Nothobranchius furzeri: one gene and its partner. The protein of the gene in region 1 binds, or shares a complex with, the protein of each later gene. Links are inferred from orthologs where the notes say so. Each region holds a gene or a part of one and is shown on either strand. Other genes may lie near its edges. The genes, in order: immt and chchd6a.

What was found.
Region 2: immt (region 1) and chchd6a share a complex: the UniProt entries of both Homo sapiens proteins name them as parts of the mitochondrial contact site and cristae organizing system (MICOS) complex. The link is inferred for Nothobranchius furzeri from reciprocal best matches to the Homo sapiens genes IMMT and CHCHD6.

What each region holds. Positions count from the first base shown.
Region 1 is NC_091741.1:108,909,114-108,913,610, forward strand, and holds the start of immt (MICOS complex subunit MIC60), read left to right. Parts: upstream 1-1,502; 5' UTR 1,503-1,636; coding exon 1,637-1,678; intron 1,679-2,001; coding exon 2,002-2,069; intron 2,070-2,144; coding exon 2,145-2,334; intron 2,335-2,810; coding exon 2,811-2,955; intron 2,956-4,497. Other genes in the region: slbp (histone RNA hairpin-binding protein), read left to right, coding at 1-98, 169-295, 381-452. UniProt on the Homo sapiens protein: Component of the MICOS complex, a large protein complex of the mitochondrial inner membrane that plays crucial roles in the maintenance of crista junctions, inner membrane architecture, and formation of contact sites to the outer membrane.
Region 2 is NC_091755.1:51,009,018-51,013,528, forward strand, and holds the start of chchd6a (MICOS complex subunit mic25a), read right to left. Parts: upstream 3,043-4,511; 5' UTR 2,865-3,042; coding exon 2,781-2,864; intron 1,160-2,780; coding exon 1,066-1,159; intron 115-1,065; coding exon 1-114. Other genes in the region: E3 ubiquitin/ISG15 ligase TRIM25, read right to left, coding at 3,871-4,511. UniProt on the Homo sapiens protein: Component of the MICOS complex, a large protein complex of the mitochondrial inner membrane that plays crucial roles in the maintenance of crista junctions, inner membrane architecture, and formation of contact sites to the outer membrane.

The DNA of each region.
Region 1 (4,497 bases):
TCCTGGGACCAGCAGGTCAAGCTTTGGAAGGTCAAACTGCATGCCTGGGATCCTCCGTCATTGAGCTCCCAGAAGACAACTCCTAACAGCAACAGCAGGTAGGAGAACGTCAGGCTCGGAGGAGCCTCCTTGTGCCGAACCCAGCAGGTCATTTTGTTTTTCCTCCAGTCAGGAGCTGGACCCCTGTGAGGAGCTGGATTTTGGTGACGTCATGGATATCGAGTTGGACTTCCCTACCCTGTCGCACTCTGAGCACCCCCCCACCGCCCACTGGGTGCACGCCTCCTCTGTAACGGTGAGTTAGCGTAGTTACGAACCGACAGGTTAAACCTAACACTTTTTGGGCTCGGTTCTGAATCTGCTTGTTCTGTGTTGTTCAGGATCAAGACTACCTGGGGACCCCAGTTAAAGTCCAGAGGACAGAGAGCCCAGGGGGGCCTGACATGGTGTAGCTCATGGTTGGGGTTCCTGCTGAACTCCACCTGCATCTAGGAAGTGTGTTCTGGAGTCGTTTGGGTTCAAATATTTGTTTTTAGTCCGTAAAAAGGACACTTTTAACTTGGACATCTGCTCAGGGAGATCACTCCACCACCAGGTTTATAATTCCAGCTTTGACCCGTCAGGAGACTGCTGGGATGAGCCCCTGTTGTCCTCGTCTGTTTGTGTCCCGGTGGGGAGACGTCGCATCGACCTGAGTCCAGGAGTTATTTAAGGAGGAGCGACGGCGGACGGCTTGTAGAATATTTTGTAGAGCTCTGATTTGACTGTTGAGCCGGACAGTTTTACGTTTGCTGTTATGAACTACGTGTAATTTTAATATGTCCTTATTACAACTGTTTGTTTGTTTGCTTTTGATGAAGACATGAAAATAAAAAGAACAACCTCGTTACTGGTTCTGACTGGTGCCTGAAATCCTTGAGAAGGTCCGAGTTTTTATGGAATAAAGTACTTGGGAGGCATTCAGGTGGAAGTGAGTACGGGACGAGTTTGTTCTTGTGTACGTGTCGGCACTAGGAAACATGCTGGAACCAGTGTGTTTGGTGAAGGAGCTCACGATGGACCAGGTGGAGAACATCAATGAAACTTCATTTGCTCTCTGAAGACCACGGAATCGATCAAGGAGTGGAGGGGAACGTGTGAAAACTGGATCAGAAATTGTGACCCGGCATTCCCCTCCTGGGAATAGTTGAACGGAGAGCTAGAGAAGGTTCTGCTCCTACGGAGACCTCCACAGCCGAGCCGTGCCTGATGGCGGGAGTCGAGTGAGAATGAGAAGTCAGCAAGTGATGACTAGAAGCTGATGGACGGGACCGGTGGCAGTTGGACCTGTTTTTACTCTAATCGGGTGCGATGCGGGCCGGACCACAGTGTGGACCTTCACCATCTACTGCCAGGAGGAAGACCACCCGAGGACCGACAGGTAAAGAGGAGAGAACGTCCGCGTGGATGGAGCCATACTCCCCACCAGCAGGTGGCGCTGAAGACGGGTTGCTTTTCCACCCGGAAGTGAAGCCTGGCAGCGGGAGGAGGTTCCGGTCCGGTTCTGGTTTGTGTCCGCTGAGCGACTGTGTGAAGGAAAGTTGTCGTGGTGCCACCGCCGAACCCGCTTTGGACTCGGACCGTTGAAGCGAGGACCATGCTTGGAGTGTGCCTGCGAGGAGCCCACGCCACGGTCCGGGTAAGAGCCGAACCCGTCCTGTTAGCAGCTAGCATGGTGGGGTCATCCGGTGACCCAGCTCAAGGTTCCACGGTTCTCAGGGTTGAACAGAACCAGTTTTGTGCCAGGACATCCGGTCCAGTTTGGCGTCTCTGGTTAGCCCGCGGTTAGGCTTTGTTTACATTCCCTCCGGTACCGGTAAGGATTAGGGTCCGAACCCTAACGAGCACCTCTCAGGTGACCTGTGTGTTCAGAGATTTGATGTTTACAGGTGAGTTTAGTTGGAGGTGACGTCACAACCGTAGATGCTGCCTTCACTGTACCTGGGACATTGTGTGTTTCAGAAGAACTGTGTGAGAAGTCCTCTGACTCCGCTGCAGTCCTACAGGTGCTACTCCACCAGCAGGAGCAGGTAACTGACCCCTCAGGTGAGGTAAGGACACACCTCACAGGTAAAAACCTAACCGTCTGCCCCTCCCCATCACAGCGGCGCCTCCAGAGTGGTTGCTCTCGGCTTGGTGACGGTAGGCGGAGGCGTGGGAGGGACACTGCTCTACTCCAAATGGGACCCCAAGTTCAGAGCAGCTGTGGAGAAGAATGTCCCGTACTCTGATTGGCTGCTGGGCCTGGCTCTGGGACCAGCTCCTGAGGATGCCCGTCTCCCTGTGAGGAAACAGGTGAGGAGCGGAGGTGAACACCTGTTCACACGCAAAGTCCAGTTCCTGTCACCTGTTAAGGTTTTCCTGTGAAGTCCACCTGAGCTAAAGAAGGGGGCGGGGCTTGTTGTTTAGAGCGACGGCTCTCATCATTTGTGCTGATTTTGTCTTCGCTGTCTGGCGTGCCGCCACCAGAAGGCGCGGTTTAGGTGTTCCCTGAGCTGCTGCCACAAACTAGGGATTGTGATGAAAATGGAAGATCATCTCATGGTCACATGACGTGGCAGCTGTACCGTGACAAAATTCACTTTCGTCTCCCAGCAGAGGAAGTTTGGATTTAAGTAAACCATTTGAGCGTGTCGATGGACTTGGGGCTCAGGGATGATCTTGTAGGAGCTGGATTAGACTACGCTGCTAAGTTGTTTCGACGTGTTGTGGCTCAGTAGTTAGGAACAATAACATTATTTTTTTTATTATCTCTAATGGTTTCTGTTCAGGTGGAGTTGAACCAGCCACCCTCCATGTTGGATAAACCAAAAACGGATCCCAAAGCCAAGTCCCAGAAGAGTGTGAAGGAGGCAGCAGAGGCAAGTGGCCCAGAGTCCAGTCTGGTCCCACCACCGCCAGCTCAGAGCATACAGGGTAGGAGGTTCTCACCGTTTCTCAGCCGCTCCTGCAGAAGCTACCACAGATTAGCCGCTGAAGGAGAGCCAGCTGTGGAGCGCAATGAGCTTCATTTGGTGTTGCGTTTGGGCCAAGCGGAGTGAATAAACGCATACGAGATTTGATTATGGCGACGTTAAAACACGACAACAGGCTGGTTGGACTTCATGAATTACCTTGTAGATTTAAAACTACGCTGCCTAAAAGATGCTGCTTGTTCACAAGTGGTCAGAATAGCTGGTGTTGGGATCATTCTGGAAGTGACGAGTGTCAGGTAGTCTGAGGAGCCTGATGCTTGTTGGAATAATAATCCTCATTGTTAGTGATTCTGATCCACAGGTAGGATATGAGCTAGATGATTTAGATGATGAAAGAGTTTAGAGAGCGGTGCAGACCCTAAAGGACTCGTTGGTGACGGGAACAGACAGCAGGGTTGGTTCCAGGGTCAGACGGTGGATGAGCCGGAGACGAGGACAGAAATGGTAGAGAAGAGTAGTGCAGAACATGTGTGAGACAGCGGGGGGGGGGCACATGGGCGGTCAGTGACCTGTGATGTCAGGAGGTTATCTCTGAGCATGTGGGCGGGGCAAAAGAGCGCGGTGTAGGGTTGCAACAAACGATTATTTGGGTCATCGATTCGATTAATCAGATTAAACGGGAACATTTAACAATGGAACTTGATTAGATAACAGCTCAGTGGCGTTCAAAACAACACGCTGTCACCTAAATGTATCCTTAGTTAAAATTTAATTAGCATTTTCAGTAGCTAGCTACTGGAAACGCTAATAACATTTACTTTCTACTGCTAACATGTAATGGTGACACATGTACGGGTTGGCACTAATCCAGTTTAAATTGCGTTCACGGATAGATGCGTTTGTGAATTACATGCTACGGTGGCTTGCCATAACCCCGCAGCGGAGCAGACTCAAAGCAGCAACCAGAGGTTCTGCTCCCTGGTGCTGCAGAAAGCTAACAATAAACAGGATGGCGGGGACTTTTCTTCCGCTGGTAGAGTTTAGATGTTCTTAGTTTCACGACCATCGTGTTTATTTGGAACTTCCATTTTATTTATGAAGCAGATTCCCACACGGCCGAGGCCAACCACAGTGCTGCACAGTAAAAGAGCATAAAAATCCACACACGGGAAGAAAGTAATAAAAGTAGTACAGTGACTACTATAAAATCAATAAAAATAAAACAGAGACATGGTACAATGCTAACTCGGCTGAAGTAAAAGCCACGGAATAAAAATGAGTCTTCAGGCGTGATTTTAAATCGGAGAGAGAGGGGGCCATTCTCACTGCTAGAGGGAGTTGATTCCAGAGACGAGGCGCAAAGATTGAGAACGCGCGTTCTCCTTGCGTCCTCGCCCAAACACTTGGGACCAGGTACGTAGGGCAGAACCAGCTGAGTCAAGTACAGAGCAGCATAAAGACGGAGTGACTTAAAAACAAGAAGTAAAATTTTAAACTGGATGCAGTAACGCACCGGGAGCCAGTGCAGCTGGGCCAGAACAGG
Region 2 (4,511 bases), on another chromosome or scaffold:
TTCTCTGTTCTTCCTTGGTGAAGGAGACTGGTTTGCTGGACTGGCTGCTTGGTTTGGCTCGCTGTTGTTGGCTCTGCTTTGCTTGAGAGTCAGAGCTGGAACCGTGAGAAGAACCTGATGAAAGGAAGACAGAATATCAAAGGGTCGACCCTTGATGGAGGAGAAAGGAGAACATTTAATAAAATCACTGCAATTAAAACTCAACCTTACAGGTAAACTTCAGTGAAACAAATTAATCTTTAGTAGAGAATGAAAGAACTAATAATTTTATATAATCAATTTCCCTCTGGGATTAATCAAGTATTTTTGAATTTGAATTGAATTGAGATTATATAAATATATATATATATACATATATAATACATATATATATAATAAATATAAATTATATATATATATATACATATATATATACATACATATACATACACATATATATATATATACATACATATGCATACACACATATATATATATATATATATAAACACATCCTCTTGCTTGGGTGCAAGAGGTCCTGGGCTCAGATCCTGGACAAGCCCCCATGTTGCAGCCCCACAAGCTGGGCCTTAACATTTGAATAAAAAGGCACAACTTGTGAATAATAATTGTAAAACTAAGTGTTTTAGCTCTGTTGGCTGACTGGAGATGCACATTAACGAACAAGAGGCGTTGGGGCTTAAAGGTGCAATACAGTTTTTCACCTCTAGATGGTTCGCTCTGACAAAAGCTCAGGATGTCTTTTTTTAATGAGTTGTTTTCATTTAATTTAATGATAATTTAATGTAGTAAATTCATTACAGTACATTTTAATTACAGTTTGGTTGCAAAAAAAAAAGGCTAAACTTGTTTCTACAGACAGACAAAATCTGGTTATGTTGCTAGTAAAGAATAAAAACTGTCTTGTTGTGTATTTTTAGTTAAAAAATTAAGAAGAAAAAACAAGAAGGAAAGTGATTTTTTTTCTTTTGTGGTTTTGTTAAATTATTATATTAACAAGAGACAACTGGACCTTGAATTATATAAAGTAAACGGTGTTATTTAGGAAAAAAAAAGAGCGAAAACCTTTATCATTCTGGGGGCTCGGAGTTGAAGATGCTGATCGATTTGGAGCAATGTTGGCTACTCCTCTCATCCTCTGAAGAACGTCTTCTGACAGCTGACAAAAGAACAAATACAAATTTGATACAGCCAAGTTGAAATAAATACAAGCAAAATATTAGATCCTAAAGTTTTATTTTCTGTTTAAAATTTGGATTACGTGTTGTGATTTTTAATTTAAAAAATACTCTTATTTTTGTCTGGAACGGATCCAGCAAAACTTATTTATGAGCACACAGACTCACTGCAGCCGTGTAGTTTTGCCATTTGTAGAACCGTGTGTGTTTCGGGCATCCAAGGAAACTGTTAAGCTTTGTCTAAAACCACAGAAGGTCGTGCCATGTGTCGATGACTCACAGCATCTGAATGTGAAACTCAGTCTGGCAAGAATATTTATTTATGCGATTTTAACTTTATTGTCTTCTAATGAGACATTTTCAGACATTTTGATAATAGCAGGCAAAAAAAAATCCCTAATTATATTATTCGTTTTCCATTGCCCAGTGACCAGATGAATGAATGGTTAATGGTAAATGGTAAATGGCCTGTATTTGATATAGCGCCTTCTAGGGTCCTGGAACCCCCCAAGGCGCTTTACAACACAATCAGTCATTCACCCATTCACACACACATTCACACCCTGAAGGTGATGAGCTACGATGTAGCCACAGCTGCCCTGGGGCACAATGCACAGGCGCCACCGGTCACTCCGACCACCACCAGCAGGCAAGGCAGGTTAAGTCTCTTGCCCAAGGACACAACGACAGCGACAGACTGAGCGGGACTCGAACCTGCAACTTTCCGATTACGGGGCGAACACTTAACTCCTGTGCCACCGTCGTTATTACATTGCTGTTAATGGAACACAGAAATATAAAGAACATTAAAAATCATAGCCTAATTCTGCATCTACATAACTACATTCAACCAGTATGTGTCTTTTTCCACAATCAAGGTGTCATTTTGCAATTCAAATATATATTGTTGGCTTCATATTATTTTTGACACTTCCATAATTTACATTGTCACTTCAAAAGTTGAATAAAACCCAAGAATTCGATTTCTGAACGTGTTCATGAACGCACCCAACTGCCATTGAGACAGCCCTTCGCCAAAGTCCATTCAAATGTTGTTTATTTAAAGTCTCAATGCTGCAAAGCTAACATGATCTGCTGACATTAAAACATATCTATTACGATTTAGTGGTAGCTCGATATTGCAAGTAAAATAATAAATATATAAACAAAATTGAAAAATACCGAGAAGTTTGTTTTGATTTAATCTTTCCTCAGCTAAAGTTGCTACCAGTTTTAGTAACTAGTTACATCTACAGCCACTACGTTAAATTTATCTGAGCCGGATTCACCGGAATGCCTTTAAATATGTCATAGTTTATTTGTTCAACAGCTATATTTACTGTGTTACTCATTATCAGAGGGTACTGCTACAAAATAGCACATGTTGGCAGAAGTTTGGCGTAGCAAAAAAAGGACACCTCAACCTGCCTCGGTTCCTGCATTCTCCTCCAACCTTCATGCTTTAACAGGTGATGTTAGGATGACAGGCTTACTTACGCTCAAAAGTCGTGAAGCAACATGTTAAACGCTGCTTCGTTGTCAGCGTAGCACTAAAGTAATATGTTAGCATGGCTTGTCAAACGCTAGCTAAATTAGCCTTACCTTTATGCCACGAAGAATCCTGACTCTGTCCTCATCATCCACCCCGAAAGATACTTTTCTAGTCGTACTTTCTCCGGACCCCATCTTTATTGTGATAAGCTATATTTTTAAACAGCAAATGGATCTAGTGCACTACTGTTTATGTCGTCCTCAATGACAATGTGTGACAGATGGGAAACGGGTTGCCAGATTTGCTATAAAGAACCCTTTTTGTTGTTTGATATTTAAATGCCAAATATTTAGGTGAATAATATAATCTGTTCCCTGGATAGAAATGTTTAAAATATTTTTGTTATAACTATCATAAATTGTATTCGTAAGTAAATTTTAAAACGTTTCAATCATTTTACCTTTACGGGGTTTTCCTCCGTTCTGGCAACTCTAATTCCAGACGCTGCAAGACTGTGGAATGAATTTAAGTTAAAAAAAAAAGAATAACGAAACTAACATACAACTTTCTAGTACACCTATGTGATGAGCAGATTCACAAAATTGACTGCAAATATATTTATTTGTGCATAAATAATTTATTTTCGCAAAGCAGTTGGCCAGCTCAAGCTAAATGTCAGAGTTCATGTGAGCCACTGTTTGCCATTCACCAACTATATTCAGTAGATTACACACACACACACACACACACACACACACACACACACACACACACACACACACACACACACACACACACACACACACACACACACACACACACACACTTTCAAAAATCTATTTTGTGTTCAATGATCACACAAATTGGAAACATTATCCATATTAGAATATTTTATTTATATAAACATACCAAAAACAAACCAATCAACAAAAATAAAGGAAAAAAACCTCATGATCTTGCTTTTCCAGTAAATAAACAATTATGTTTGTATTGATCATTTGAACAGTAGCATCTGTCTTTTCCAGTTTTTGAGAATGTTTTGGCCCAAATGGTGAAACCCTGATACTGTATTTAGGACATAAATAACAAAATACAGATATGCAAATAAACTAGCATTTAAAGTGTTTCAGTGCTGAAACACCAAAGTAAAACCCTACATAATAGCATTTAAACAGATTTTATGCAGATTCAATGTAAGAATTATATTCCACTATTCAGCGTGATCCAGGACTCTGGTGTGTTCGAGTGAATGCTGAATGCTGGGTAAACGGGCTCCTTGAACACATGTCTAAAGGTGTGGAGGTGTTCCCTACAACCGTTGGTGCTGTGGAACTTTAAGGCCCCACCTTCATAGTCAAGAGCAATCTCAATCTTTGTAGGAGGACTGAGTGTTTCTGCCAAGGCTATATTGCTGGAGGCTGTGCACGCAGTCAGCTTCCCGTTTTTCCTCTGAAGTCTCCAGGACACTGTGTTGTGTCCCAGGCGACTATGGTCACCGCGCCGAAGGATGCTCTTGTAGCACACACCGAGGGACCACATGCAGCTGGACCCCACTTCTACCACCCACACGTGTATGCCACCTGAGAAACTCTGGGTGCACATGATCTGAGGAGCGCTAGCAAAACGCTCTGGGTGGTCCACGTATGACTGCTTGGTTGAGCTGTACTTGACCGTGCGCATGTCAGAGGAAATCAACAAGCTGGGATGTGCAGAGTAGACATTGAAGGTGAGCTCCTGGGGGTTCAGGAGGATGTGAAGACTTTCCAGGAGGCGAACCATTTCAGAGCGGAAGTCGTTGGTTTTGAGCTTTGACTGGAGATGCTTGGTGTTGAGTAGAACGT